3 linked regions of the Pelodiscus sinensis genome follow. The protein of the gene in region 3 purifies or fractionates together with the protein of the main gene of each other region. This does not show direct contact. Links are inferred from orthologs where the notes say so. Each region holds a gene or a part of one and is shown on either strand. Other genes may lie near its edges. The genes, in order: SYK, PTPRE and GRB2.

The links.
Region 1: the proteins of GRB2 (region 3) and SYK purify together in Homo sapiens (affinity purification with western blotting; 3 studies listed by BioGRID, with this or other methods). This does not show direct contact. The link is inferred for Pelodiscus sinensis from reciprocal best matches to the Homo sapiens genes GRB2 and SYK.
Region 2: the proteins of GRB2 (region 3) and PTPRE purify together in Homo sapiens (affinity purification with mass spectrometry; 5 studies listed by BioGRID and IntAct, with this or other methods). This does not show direct contact. The link is inferred for Pelodiscus sinensis from reciprocal best matches to the Homo sapiens genes GRB2 and PTPRE.

The regions. Positions count from the first base shown.
Region 1 is NC_134716.1:48,172,677-48,176,971, reverse strand, and holds the start of SYK (tyrosine-protein kinase SYK), read right to left. Parts: upstream 2,440-4,295; 5' UTR 2,017-2,439; intron 1-2,016. UniProt on the Homo sapiens protein: Non-receptor tyrosine kinase which mediates signal transduction downstream of a variety of transmembrane receptors including classical immunoreceptors like the B-cell receptor (BCR).
Region 2 is NC_134718.1:51,491,435-51,495,729, forward strand, and holds the start of PTPRE (receptor-type tyrosine-protein phosphatase epsilon), read right to left. Parts: upstream 2,402-4,295; 5' UTR 2,338-2,401; coding exon 2,263-2,337; intron 2,052-2,262; exon of another isoform or gene 1,938-2,051; intron 1-1,937. UniProt on the Homo sapiens protein: Isoform 1 plays a critical role in signaling transduction pathways and phosphoprotein network topology in red blood cells. May play a role in osteoclast formation and function.
Region 3 is NC_134730.1:12,217,024-12,221,318, reverse strand, and holds the start of GRB2 (growth factor receptor-bound protein 2), read right to left. Parts: upstream 2,864-4,295; 5' UTR 2,629-2,863; coding exon 2,551-2,628; intron 1-2,550. UniProt on the Homo sapiens protein: Non-enzymatic adapter protein that plays a pivotal role in precisely regulated signaling cascades from cell surface receptors to cellular responses, including signaling transduction and gene expression.

The sequences.
Region 1 (4,295 bases), on a different chromosome or scaffold from region 3:
TTCAACAGTAGTTTTACCATTGACATGATTAGTGGAAGCAATAGCAGGCACTTAAATAGGAAGTGCAAAAGAAAGGAATCAAATTAATTAATGCCATTATTGTGTAGTCATTAAAGTTAAAAACATTGAAAACAACATTCATATAATTGTATTAACATATTATTTTTGGCTCCTACTACTTTAAAAAAGACATCCATTAACTGTTTCCAAAATAACTCCCTCCCCCCCCCCCCACTCTATAGGTCAAATTCTGCTCTCATTGACATCAATACAATCATGCTTACTTGGAAGTAGAAATGTAGCTGACTAAAATTTATATCTTTGATTTTACAGTGTTTTATTATTATTTAATAGAAACAAAACCTGAAAGCTTTATAAAATACAACTGTGGATTTTAATTATTCCTCCAACTAAATATGAAAATCAGAATAAATATTAGTCATTAAACTACTCATTCTGATCTTCCTAAAATGGTTTCAAATATTTATTTTGAGTTGTTTTATCTATGAAACCCTTCTCTTAACCTTTCTCCCTTCCCCCAGAAAGTCACAAAATAAAAACACACTCCCGTCTCAAGCTTCCTTATTTCTGCTTTTATCCGTCTTAAGCTTAACAAATGGCTGAGAAAGGAAAGCGTCATAGTTCCTGTAAAAGTACCCACTCCAAATGCTCTCAGGCTAACTGTTTATGGCCCTGACATTCTTATCAGGTCTGTGCCAGGACAATGCATTTGAATCAGACTGAACATTTGATTCCAAAGGTACAGAAAAAGCAAATATTTTGTACGCGGGGAGGGGGCTTGCAGGGGAAGGCCCAAAATAACAGATACCAACCAAAATTATGAGAATGTAAATGGTTTGTTGAACTATGGAAATTAATCATAATAGGGAAATGCTTTCCAAAACTACCTTGTAAATTAAGCCAAATTAAGAAATTTGATTCTGGGCTTGATCCAACACCACTGAAATCAAAGGTATTTGTGCCCGAGAAAGGAATGCTGGCTTTGCCCCAAAATTGGCCTGAGACATCACTTGCTATACTCTCATTTTTTATATCATTCACTCTGTTGAAGTCAATGGAGTTTCACTATTGTAAAATTGAAATAAATAGTGGTGACAGCTTTTTTATTAGAAAAAAAAAAGACATTTGATAAAAATTGTCAGGCTTCAGAACTCTGAACGAAAATACTGTACCTAGTGTCCCGGTAATAACATCTCATGAAAATTATGAACAACATTGTTTTGTTTACAGAACAAACCAGTTTCATAGTCATGCATCCAGATATGCTCATTTACTGGTTCATGCTGACTTGAAAGACAATTATAACTTAAGAGTTTTGTGTTTGCCTTCACAAACTGATATATTTTATTTGTTTACATATTAAGTTGCTTTGTGGAATTGCTTTCTTCTGTTGCTTTTCGGGGCTAATTTTTTTCCTTACAAATGTATTCAATATTTTTAAAAGCATCAGTAGCTGATTCACATGAATTTGCCATGGCATGGTCAGTGTTTTACCTCTTATTATTTAGGTAAATGATACATTGTTTGTTTGTTCTTCAATTTATACATGAAAAGTAAGCTTGGGATGAAACAAAGAAACCTAATTGAGGAAACTTTACCCAGGAAAGCAATTTAAATGTGATCTTACAGGTGGGCCCAAAGAGAAGCTGCAGATTCGAACCCCTCCGAACTTGGTGAGCCTGTGTGTGAATTTTGCAATGTGGGGCCGCTCAATTAAGTGTTCTGTTACTGGATGCAACCCAGCGTGCCTGGCAGGGCGCGAAACACCCTCCCCGCGCCGCGCCGCGGGGGCAAGCAGAGGGGTCCGTGCTGGGGGCGGCGCATCCCCCGCGTGCCCGCAGGAGGGTTGCCCTGGTGTGTTACCCACGCGCGCAGCCCAGTCTAGACGCGAAGCTCCCCCCGCCTTACACCCACACCCCGCGGTGCCCGCAGGACTCCGGAGCGCGCATCCCGCCCGCGGCTCCCTCACCTGCCCGAGCAGGCAGCGGCGCTTACCTAGGCGAGGCGGACGGGGAGCCGCCGCGGGAAGCCTTCCCGGCTGAGCCACCCGGGGGTCCTCGCCTCTGCAGAGAGGGTTCCCCGGGGGACGCCCCCAGCCCCGGAGCAGCGCAAAGGGAGGGGGTAGGGCGGAGGCAGCCGCCGCTGCGGATTTACCGCGGGGGTCGCGGCTCTGGGCAGGAGACGCTCCGGGGCGCTGCCTCCCAGCCTCGCGTTCAGAGGGAGTGACAGCCTCGCTTCCTCATTTTCTGCGGCGGCCGCCCCGGCTACTTCCTCCCAGCCTGGCTCAGCTCACACACTTCCTCATCGGGCAGCTGCTCCCCGGCCCGCGTTATTTGCCTAACAGCTGGGACACGGGCGGAGCGGCCTCGGGCTTCCCGCGCCAGGATGCGCCAGCTCGGCTCTGCCCAGCTCCTCTTCTGCCTTTCCTGGCTGCCGCTTCTAACCCGGCCCTCCTAAACACTCCCTGCACTTCCACACCTCCCTGGCTCGCCTCCGCGCCTCGCCTTGCCCCTAAGCTGGCTGCATTAGAGCGACCCTTTCCGCTTGCCTGTCCGCTCCAAAGCCTTACAGGCAACCTCCACTGGGTTTCCTAGAATTGAAAACAATCTATTGGGCTGGAAGAGACTTGGAGAGGTTAACAAGTCCAGCTACCTTGGCTGAGGCAGGGCCAAGTAAACCTAGCCTCTCCCTGACACATCCTCTTCCTCTAACCTGTTCTTTAAAACTTCCCAGAGGGATTCCACCTCCTCCTTAGAGAACCTGTTCTAGTGTATGGTTACACTAGGGATGTGGGTATCTAGCCCTATATTTAGAAAGTGTTTCCTAATAGCCAACCTTACTCTCTCATTCTGCACATCCAGCTCATTGCCTCATCTTACCTTCAGTGGACATGGAGAATAGTTGTTAACCAGCCTTTCCATAACAGCCCTTAATATGTTTGAAGACTACTAACATAAGAACAGCCATACTGAGTCAAACCAAAGGTCCATCTAGCCCAGTATCCTGTTTTTCAACAGTAGCCAATGGCAGGTGCCCCATGGGGAATGAATGGAACAGGTAATTACCATGTGATCGAACTCCTGATGCCCATTCTCAGTTTCTGACAGAGGCCTGTCAGAAAAAAGTTTCTGACACTATTCCTAACCATCCTGGCTAATAGCCATTGATGGACCTATCTTCCATGCTTTTGTGAACCCTGTTAAAGTCCTAGTCTTCCCAACATCCTCTGGCAAGGAGTTCCACAGAACTGTGCTCTATAAAGAAATACTTCCTTTTGTTTCTTGTAAACCTGCTACCTATTAATTTCACTTGATCCCTAGTTCTTGTATTATGGGAACAAGTAAATAACTTTTATTTACTTTCTCAACACCAGTCATGATTTTATAGACCTCTATCATATCTCCTCTCAGGGTACATCTACACTGCAACGCTATTTCAAGATAACTAGCATTATTCCGAAATAACTTAGTCCGCATATACACAGCAAGAAGTTATTTTGAAAGTGTCAAAATACTGTCAAGGTGGAGGACTTCTTACTCTGACTCCTGTAACCCTCTTTGTATGAGGAATAAGGGAAGTCAGAGAAAGAGTGCTCTATTTTGAAAAAAAGTTCTGTGCAGTTCCTCCCTATTTCGAAATAAGATACACAATTGATGTAGCTGTGACGTAGTGAGGGGTACCTTGCTGGTTGTTATGCTGGGCAGTGGGTTGTGAGTGACCTCCACTGGCTGCTGGCTGCAGCACGGCCCAGCAGGGCAGGGAATGAGTCATTATGAAAGGGGGCTTCGAACCCATCTGACCAGTTATCTCCCAGGGAGCGGAACAATGGGAAGAAGGGGAGTGGAGCCCTGGCTGTGGGCAGGGTTGAAAGTGAGTTAGTTAGGTTTCTGGCTGGTTTCATGGAGAAAGCAGCCTAGGCAACTGGCTGGGATTTAGGGGCCTAGGCTCCCCCATCTCAAGAGGGGCTGAGGCATCCTAGACCTGCCCTGTAACCATATTACATCTGTGCTGTATCCTGGAGAAGCAATAAATTCCCTCTATTCTACGGGCTGGTGGAGTCTGTCTGTGCCATTACGGGGGTGCAGGAGACGGGAAAACCCCAACGCGCCGCCACAGTAGCACAATTTGCATAGCTTATTTCAAGTTAAGGCCAGCAATGTAGATACATCCTTAGTCTCCTCTTTTCTAAGCTGAAAGGTCCCTTTCTTTTTAATCTCTCCTCATATGAAAGCAACTCAAAACCCCTAATAATTTTTGTTGACCTTTTCTGCATT
Region 2 (4,295 bases), on a different chromosome or scaffold from region 3:
ATGAAAAATACTATGTTGTTTGCTCCCTGTGTACCTTAGGAACTCGGCTAGCAGTTCCCAGAATTGTGACCTTCCCTCCCCCCCGCATCCCCCTTCTGTTCTGAAATTTGATTTGTCCTTTTCATATGTGTTCATTTTTTTAATTGTATCCTTTGGTATATATGGTTGTGACTATTTTCTTCCACTATTTGATCTGAGGAAGTGGGTCTGACCCACAAAAGCTCATAATCTAATAAACCATCTTGTTAGTCTTTAAAGTGCTACATAGTCCTGTATTTTGTTTCAGTTCCCAGAATTGTATATCTGGAGAAGAACTAATATTTGATATAAGCAGACAAAGTAGTATAAGCAATTGCTTAGGATCCTGGAGCAGCTCAAGAGGGTGCTTTTTACTATGTGTTGTGTGAAGAGCGGGGGGGAAAGGCGCAAATATTCCTAAGGCTTTTACTGGGCTAATACCACCTCCTAGTAGGAGCATTCCCAGTAATGACTCTAGATACCACAGTATCAGTTGCATTAGACTACATCATAGACAGATTGTGGAATTTGCTGCCCCATTGGTCCTGTGATTGTTCATCTTCAGGACGGACATGCTGCAAAGATTGTTGATTCATTTTTTTTTCCCTTGAGGGAGAGGCATCAAGGCCAGCCTTGGGGTGGGCCACCCATCTGTGCAACTGCAGTCTGTGGTCGGGGCACTGTGTGCACGCTGCCAGCTGACAGAGGATCACTGCAACTTGTAGAGGTGATACATGGAGAAGGGAGATTTCTCCTTGCTTCATCCCAGCAGAGCAATGGAAGAGGCAAGGGCTAAGAATGATCCTTCTGTTCTCCCCCCCGTGTGGAGGAAGGGAGGCGAAGGAGTGAAGAGTAACACCAACTATTCCAGTCACTTTTCTAAACTGGGCTGTGTTGTGAGATGAGCATCAGGACTGCTGTTCTGCTGCCCTCCCCTTACACAGCCTCGGGGTGCCAAAATACACGGGTGCCATTTTCCCTAAAGTCAGCCCTGGGAGGCACGGTGGAAGTTCAGGAAGCTCTTGATTTTCAACTGTCAGTACTTCAGTGGTATTTACTTCATTACCGCTTTCAACAATACACACACTAACACTATCACCAGCACAGAGACAAAAGATCAGACAGCATCTTACAGAGAATGATCTCTTCAGCCATCACTCCTATGCATCTAGTTTTCATTTTAAACAGGAAGAATAAAGTTAATCTCATTCAGTTAAAACTGACAGTGTGTTTGGTAAGTGCTTATCAAAGTACCTGTACTGAATGGAGAAGGGAATAAAAGATGGATTTTTTTTAAGTGGCACCTAATTTATGCTAAACCTTGTATTAACCCCCATACTACACATATCTTCACAAAAGCAAGACTGCTTCAAAAACAGATACTGCACCACAAAGCTGCCTTCCCTACCCATCACATCCAGGCCTCCAAGTTGGTGGGTGCAAAGTGCTTTTTAAAGCATTGCACCGCTGTAAGTGTGAAGTCAAATACTCAATATTTTACCTCTAAAACGGAGGGTGAGACCCTGGCTTCACTGAGGTCCAGGAGAGTTTCTCCGTGGATGTCAGCGGAGCCAGGATTTCACCCTGAGGAGGGGAGGGTGTTTAAACCCCCTTGGCTGGAGCAGAAATGTCTGAAAGAAAAGGACATTTATTCCCAAGGGGTGTTAGGGCCCCATTCCCGCTCTGGCCTCGGAACTGCAGCGGAGCAGTAATACCGATTCCTAAGGGAAACAACCCCAGCAAGCGCGGGCTGAGGAGAGGTGAGCAGGGGGATTTCAGCAGAGCCTGCCGAAGGCTGAAGCAGGCCAGCAGCGATAACCCGGCCGCCCCCTCGCGCCTGCCACCCCACTCAAGTTGGCTGCCGAGTTCCTCCAGCCTGCAGCCAGGTGTGTCTCGCTGCCGCTCCCTGCCTGTCTCACCTGTCCCAGCCTCGCGGCGCTGCTGACCGCACTGGCTCCTCCGCGGCACGCTTGGCCCGGGGACGCGCCATGCCCCGCCCCGGGGCAGCTGCAGAGAGCAAGCCGGCAGGTAGAGCAGCCCAGCCCCTCCCACGGCGCAGAGACCGCCTGTCTGCGCACAGCGGCTCCCTCCCCGCCCGTGGCCTGCGCTGCCCTGGCCCGGGCATGTGGCTCCAGCTGGAGAATGCACCGGGGCTGGCGCTGCTGGGGGGGTCGCAGCAGCCCATGCCCGGCTGGACAGGGGCGCCTCGCCCGGCCCCGCTGCCTGGCTCCCAGCGCCGCTTACCTCAGGAGCACTCGCCCGGCAAAGGCAGCGGGCGCCCGGCCGCCCCGGTGCAGCAGGCGGGGGACGCCCTGGCATTCACCCTGCCTGCCGGAACAGCAAATCGCCGTCGCCGCCTCTGCTGCCGCGCGCTCCGAAGCGGCGTCAGCCGGGAGCCGCCTGCTGCTCAGCCGAGGGATCGCAGCCCGGGGCACCGCCAGTCAGCTGGGCAATCCGGGAGAGGCTGTGCGGGGGCCAGCACCTGCGGGAAGCGGGAGGGAGCAGCAGGGTGGCCTGGCAAATGGGGCAGAGACTGGAGGGAGGACAGCGCCGGGGGGTAACCCAAGAGCTGGCATGTGAGCGGGACGAGGTGATTGTATAGTCGGAATGAGGGAAAAGGAGGGTCGGATTTTAAAGCTGGCCTCCCCCACGTGAGGGCAGAGTGTTGACTGCAATAACTGCAGTTCATACACCACAATCTAAATGTCTACACCAGTAGGCAGTTAGATTCAGGTTTTCTAAAAAAAATTGTTCTAGTTGTCTCCTAAGCCACCTCGATTTGCTGTGCAGACCTAGCCTTAGAGCTGTCTGCATTAACCAGCCAGGCAGGTTTAGGCCTGATCCTACATTCACTTGCAATAGGGTTGCCACTTCTGAGTTAAAATAATAATAATACTTAATTAATTAATAATAAAAAGAACCAGATACTCAGGATGATTGGTGGCCCATAAAAGTAGATACCTGGCAGTGTGCAGGAACCTCTTTGTGCATTTCCGGAGACAACTATCTCAAAAAAAAGCAATCCTGAACAGGTGACAGCCCTTGCCATTGTGCCATCTGTAAACCAAGCCTTGAAATATGGGCAGGTTTTTATGTCACAGTGACAAGAGGTAGGGAGGGAGAGCTCTTCAGTTGAAGGGGAAAGGACACATTTATCTGGCAGGTTTATTTTTTATGGCTTTGAGTTTGGGTTCTTAGGGATAACCATGCGTCAGAACACCTCCCTACTCCAGCTCTGCAGTTCTCAAGACACAGCCCAAATTAGCACCCAGCTGCAGCCCAGCTGTGTGTTAAAGACCACCATGCTGCATGGCAGAGTTCTAGATCCCATTGGTCCGGCTGCCCTGCATGACATGGTTCGTATTGCCTGTCCTTATGTGGCAGAGTCAGAATTGGGCTGTACACTGGCCCTCCAGGGACCAAGGTCTAGGGCTACCACCTGGCTGGCCTCCAGGGTCCCAGGCTACCATACAGAGGGGCTCCAGGGTCTAGGGCAGCTAGCCAGCTGGCCCCACACAACACAAGGATCTGGAGTCAGGGCTTCTACGCAACTGCCACTTGCCCCATGAGGTGCAGTCCAAGGTTCCTGCCCCTGGTGCCCTGCTTTGTGGAGGGATGGGGTTTTTTTGGAGGGGGAGCATGCTATAGCCTACAGAAATAAATAGGTTAAAAACCATTGCTTCAGATGCATAGTTGATATGGGGCAAAATAGGTATGAGGCAGCCCTGAATGGCCGGACACTGATATCATCATGATTTACAGAAATGGCTACAAGGAAAACAGAGTGCTGGCTATAAAAAAGTGATGAAAGACAGTAAGCTACTATCCGGTATAGCCAATATTTTTATCTGCTGAACTGCCACAGTTGTCCAATAAGATTAGGAATCAGTGATATAGAGAATATGATGGAAGCCTGTAAATAGACTTTTGAACCCTTGCAGTAGAAGTGCCAAAGAGCTTATATACCGTGGAGGGAGAATGAAGAGGAAAAAAAGAAAAAGAAATCTAGAGTTAGCAATCTGAAAACCTAGAGATGATTACTAAATTAACTCCGAAAGTATAGTAACATTCATAGATTTTAGTTTGACATCCTACCAATGAAAGAAATCTTAGCTCTCAGCTACAGGACTGTGAAAGAAATTTAGTTCTCTGGATAGAGCTAATTTTCTTATTAATAAAATAAAGGCTGAAGAGGTAAAGCAAAAAAACTGGATTACCGAAAACACATTCGACAGCATAAACTGAGCAGGCTTCTTTTTTTCCCATTATGTGAGAAC
Region 3 (4,295 bases):
GACAGAGTCCTGGCCAGGTGGGTGTGCGGGCCAGATCCAGCCCCTGGGCCATATTTTGCTCAGCCCTGCCATAGAGGCTGTCCAGTTTGGCCAAAAAGTAAGATCAAAGTAAGTTATTAAATAAACATGAATAGAAAAGGGATAACTAGCTCTAATTCACTAAGAAACTGGTCATATGCAAATTCTTACTCTAAACAACTGTTCTTATTTCAGGCATCAGCTTCAAAACACAGATGATCTTTTACTCTGATTTTGGTCTCCAGACTTCTTTAAAGTTCTTTTTTCCTCTTAGGGTGTGCCAGGCAGTCTCCAAAGCCAGCTGAAGACAAGGGGGATTGCTTCCCGTTGCTTAGTATTCCCAGCCCTGAGGTAAAGTCTATGTTTTACATCCCTGATTCCATGGGAAAATACCAGGTTCAAAATGGATTTCAGTACCAGGTGGTATAGTCACCTGTCTTCCTAGGATGAACCATGACTTGGACTTACAGGATAAGCAAGACTATTTACAAATTTATCACCAAGCCATTAGGCTTCCAGGGCACTAGTAAGGGCTCTCATTAACACAATTAAAACTATAAACAGACTCATACTTCATAACTTCACACACAAGAATGATACATGCACCAAAATAGGATATACACATCCAGCAGATTGTAACATTAAAATTGATGTTACAAAAGGTATTTTGTTTAAAGGATCTTTGAGTTATACAGTTTCACAAGTTAATTTTCATGAAGCATGCCACACATAAAGCTCAGATTTCTGCCACAATCTCACAAACACAATCATGATCTAGTAAGAGTGTCTGAATAAACTGCAATACAGGTCCTCATTTTCCTAGTTTAGACAAAAGAAATCCTTATATATTAGGGATGTAATAGTGTAGTCGACTAACTGATAAGCAAAAGCTAATAGGTTAATGATATAGACTACACGCATTCCCTCTCCCCTGCTGCCAGTAAATTTTCTAGCAGGCTGGCCAGCAGCCCAGCTCAGTCCTGGCTTATAGCAGGTCTGGGACCTACCCCTGCTGCAGCTCTGCATTTAAAATGTATTAGGAGCCAGGCAGGCAAGGCAGCCCAGCTCAGTTCCAGCTCGCACTGGTTGTGCTCAAGAATGCTCATATGACCATCTACATATTTTGTTAGTCTCTAAGGTGCTGCAGGACTTTTTAAATTTTTTTAAATTGAATTGGTTATCATCCCAACTAAAATGTTTAAGGAACTGGTTTTCTATGACACTGTATACTAAATTTCAGCCAGTGAAAAATCATGGAGTAGTCCTATAGCACTTTAGACACTAACAACAAATTTATTTTATGTATATGTATAAGCAGCTTTCGTGGGCAAATCCCACTTCCTCAGATAAGCAGAAAACTCATAATTTATGGCAAAAATAGGAAGTTTGCAACAGAATCCATATATTTCTTGCATCAATGAAGTAGTTAATGTGATTCTTTTGCACAAATGGAATTTAAGTTTGCCTTTAAAGGGGCCTTTTCATCACTCCTTGAACAGGCTACTATTTCTTAGCCCCAACTCCGAAAAAAATTAAAGGTTTGTAATTGTTTGCAGGTTAATAGTCCCAGTGAAGAATATTCACATTCACAAAGTTATTTATGTGCTTAAAATCTTTGTGGGATTGGGTTTTTAAAGAACATGGTTTTTAATCCTCAGCCATCTATGTCCAGGTTATTTTGGAGAATAAAGATATGGATTTCAACTTTTTAAAGCTAAACCGCTAATGGCTCAATTGCTTAGAAGAAAAAGTATCCATCTTGTTTTATCCATAACAAACATGGTGATATTAACCATAGAATTAAAAAAAAAACCTTATATGAATACAAACTAGACTTTAGTTATTCTGAAAGCAGCATAGTTTAGAATCTTTATACAAAACACGCACTATAATCCGTTACCAAATCCCCATTTTCTGTTTTTGTTGCATACATTCTTCATTTGTTCTTTCTAGATTCTTCTTCAGTTTTAGGCATATATATTTTTTTAAAAAGCAAATATAAATTTATGCTGGACTCCTACTCTTCAATAAATTGAGAAACTTACACACAAAACCCATCTAATCTATCCCAGGCATCCACTCACACCTTTACAATTCCATTAAATACTCAGTGTTACAGATTTACCGCTGAAAACTAACACCACAGAAGAAGAAGAAGAAAATCAGTATCAATATTTAGCAGCGTGATGGCAAAAAGATGACCCAATTTTTCTTCCATGCAAATCTTTCTGGCAGGGGGCAAAGGGATGAAACACTAAGTTGTGGATTACTATCAAAGGGTGCATCTCTAGAAAAAAAATAATCCAGTTAATAGTACTTCTCAGCTACTGGTCTATGCTCTAGCTCTCTGCCATTAAAAACAAGCGGGCTGGAAGATGCTGTCGAAGAGCAGCCCAAGGGGTCAGAAGGGCTGTGGAGGAGACACGGGGGAGGAAATGGGATAGTGTGTGGGTGGGTGGGGGGTATTTCCAGAGATGGTGGGGCCCGAGTGACTCGGGAGAAGAGGGCTCGCTAAGCCTCCGCGGCTCTTACCTTGAGGATATCCCCCCGTTTGAAGCTCAGCTCGTCGTCCGCGGTGGCTTTGAAATCGTACTTGGCGATGGCTTCCATGCTGGGGCTGCTCCGCGAACAGCGGCGCGGGGGGTGGCTGGGAAGGGAGCTCTCCCTCCGGCTCCGTCTACCCCACTCACGGGCGGCCCTAGGGGAGGTGGAGGAAGAGACCGACCATCAGGGGAAGTGTGGCACGGACGGATGGCAGGGGCCGCGCCCTGCTCCTCTCCCTCCTCCCGAGCCAGAACCGGCCGCCGCTTCCGCTTTCCGCCGCTTCCTCCTCAAGCCGGGGCTCCGCCCGGAAGCAGCCAGAGAGGAGTGACATGGAAAGCGGCCAATAGCAGCTAGGACTGCAGCGCACAGGGCAACGCGCAGGCGCACCCCATCCAAAGAGCTGGGTGCTCCTGCGCGTGCTTTCTCGGCCCCCGGCCTCATTGCACTAGGCCGCAGCGCGCTCTCCCCTTGGGGACTCCATATTCGCGCTGTGGGGACACACAGAAAGCACCCACACTCCTAGCCCCCCCATGAACTCAGGGCAGGACCAAGCCCCATCTAGACTATCCCTGACAGGGGTGGGTCTAACCTGCTCTGAAATAGCTCCACAGCCTCCCTAGGCAATTTATCCCAGCGCTTAACCACCCCGACAGGAAGTTTTCCCTAGTGTCGGACTAAACCTCCCATTGTTTCTGGGCCTATCCTCGTGGGCTAAGGAGCAGGATTTTTCTCCCTCCTCCTTGTAACACCCTTTTATGTACTTGAAAACTACTATCATGGCCCCTCTTCTCTAGACTAAACAAATCCCAGTCTTCCTCATAGCTCATGCTTCCTAGACTTTCTGTTGCTCTTCTTTGGACTTTCTCCAAGTTGTCCACATCTTTCCTGAAAGGTGGCGCCCAGAACTGGACACAATGCTCCAGTTGAGGCCTAATCAGTGTAGCATAGAGTGGAAACATTACTTCTTGTGTCTTCTTTACAACACTACTGCTAATACATCCCAGAATTTTTTATTTTTTTTTGCAAGAGTGTTCGAAACACTGTCAACTCACTTAGCTTGAGGTATACCATGGGGGAGGAAACCGTGCCTTCATGATCTTACCCACTTGTGATATCAAGTCCCACCTTCCACCCCCAAGACAGTGTATGCATGCGCACACACCTTTTCATCCTTCAAGCATCTTAATAAGAACAGAACTGTCGCTGCTCAGATAAGTGGGAGAGGGAAGGACACACTCTCAGGAGGGAAGCTAGGGAGAAACTTTAGAATTGAAAAAATTATATAGCCTAAATGTTTTTTATTTCCTTCTATTTTTTAAGTGAGACGATATATGGGATTACATTCAAGGGCATAATTCTCCTATCACAGGACAGAATCAAAGCAAATTAGCCTAGTCCACCCTAGAAAAAGAGGGCCATTTAGAAGTGTCATAACCCTCTCCCCTGAGCAAGATTGTACTCCTAAGCAATATCTTCTATACCAGCAGAAGTTTCTAGTGTAGACCTGACCTAAGATATTTCGATACACCAACCCATCAAAAAGCAAATCAAATGAACAGACATCCATTAAAATGTGCACACTTTTTTCTTTGTCTGTGGCCCATTTCCAAATACGCCAACAGCCTGCTTCAATAGAGAAATAAAATCCCCTTTGACTGCTCACCCCTTGCTACGCAATATAACTGACTACAGCCTATAATTGATGGGAATCTCATCCTGAACAAAATCTTTCC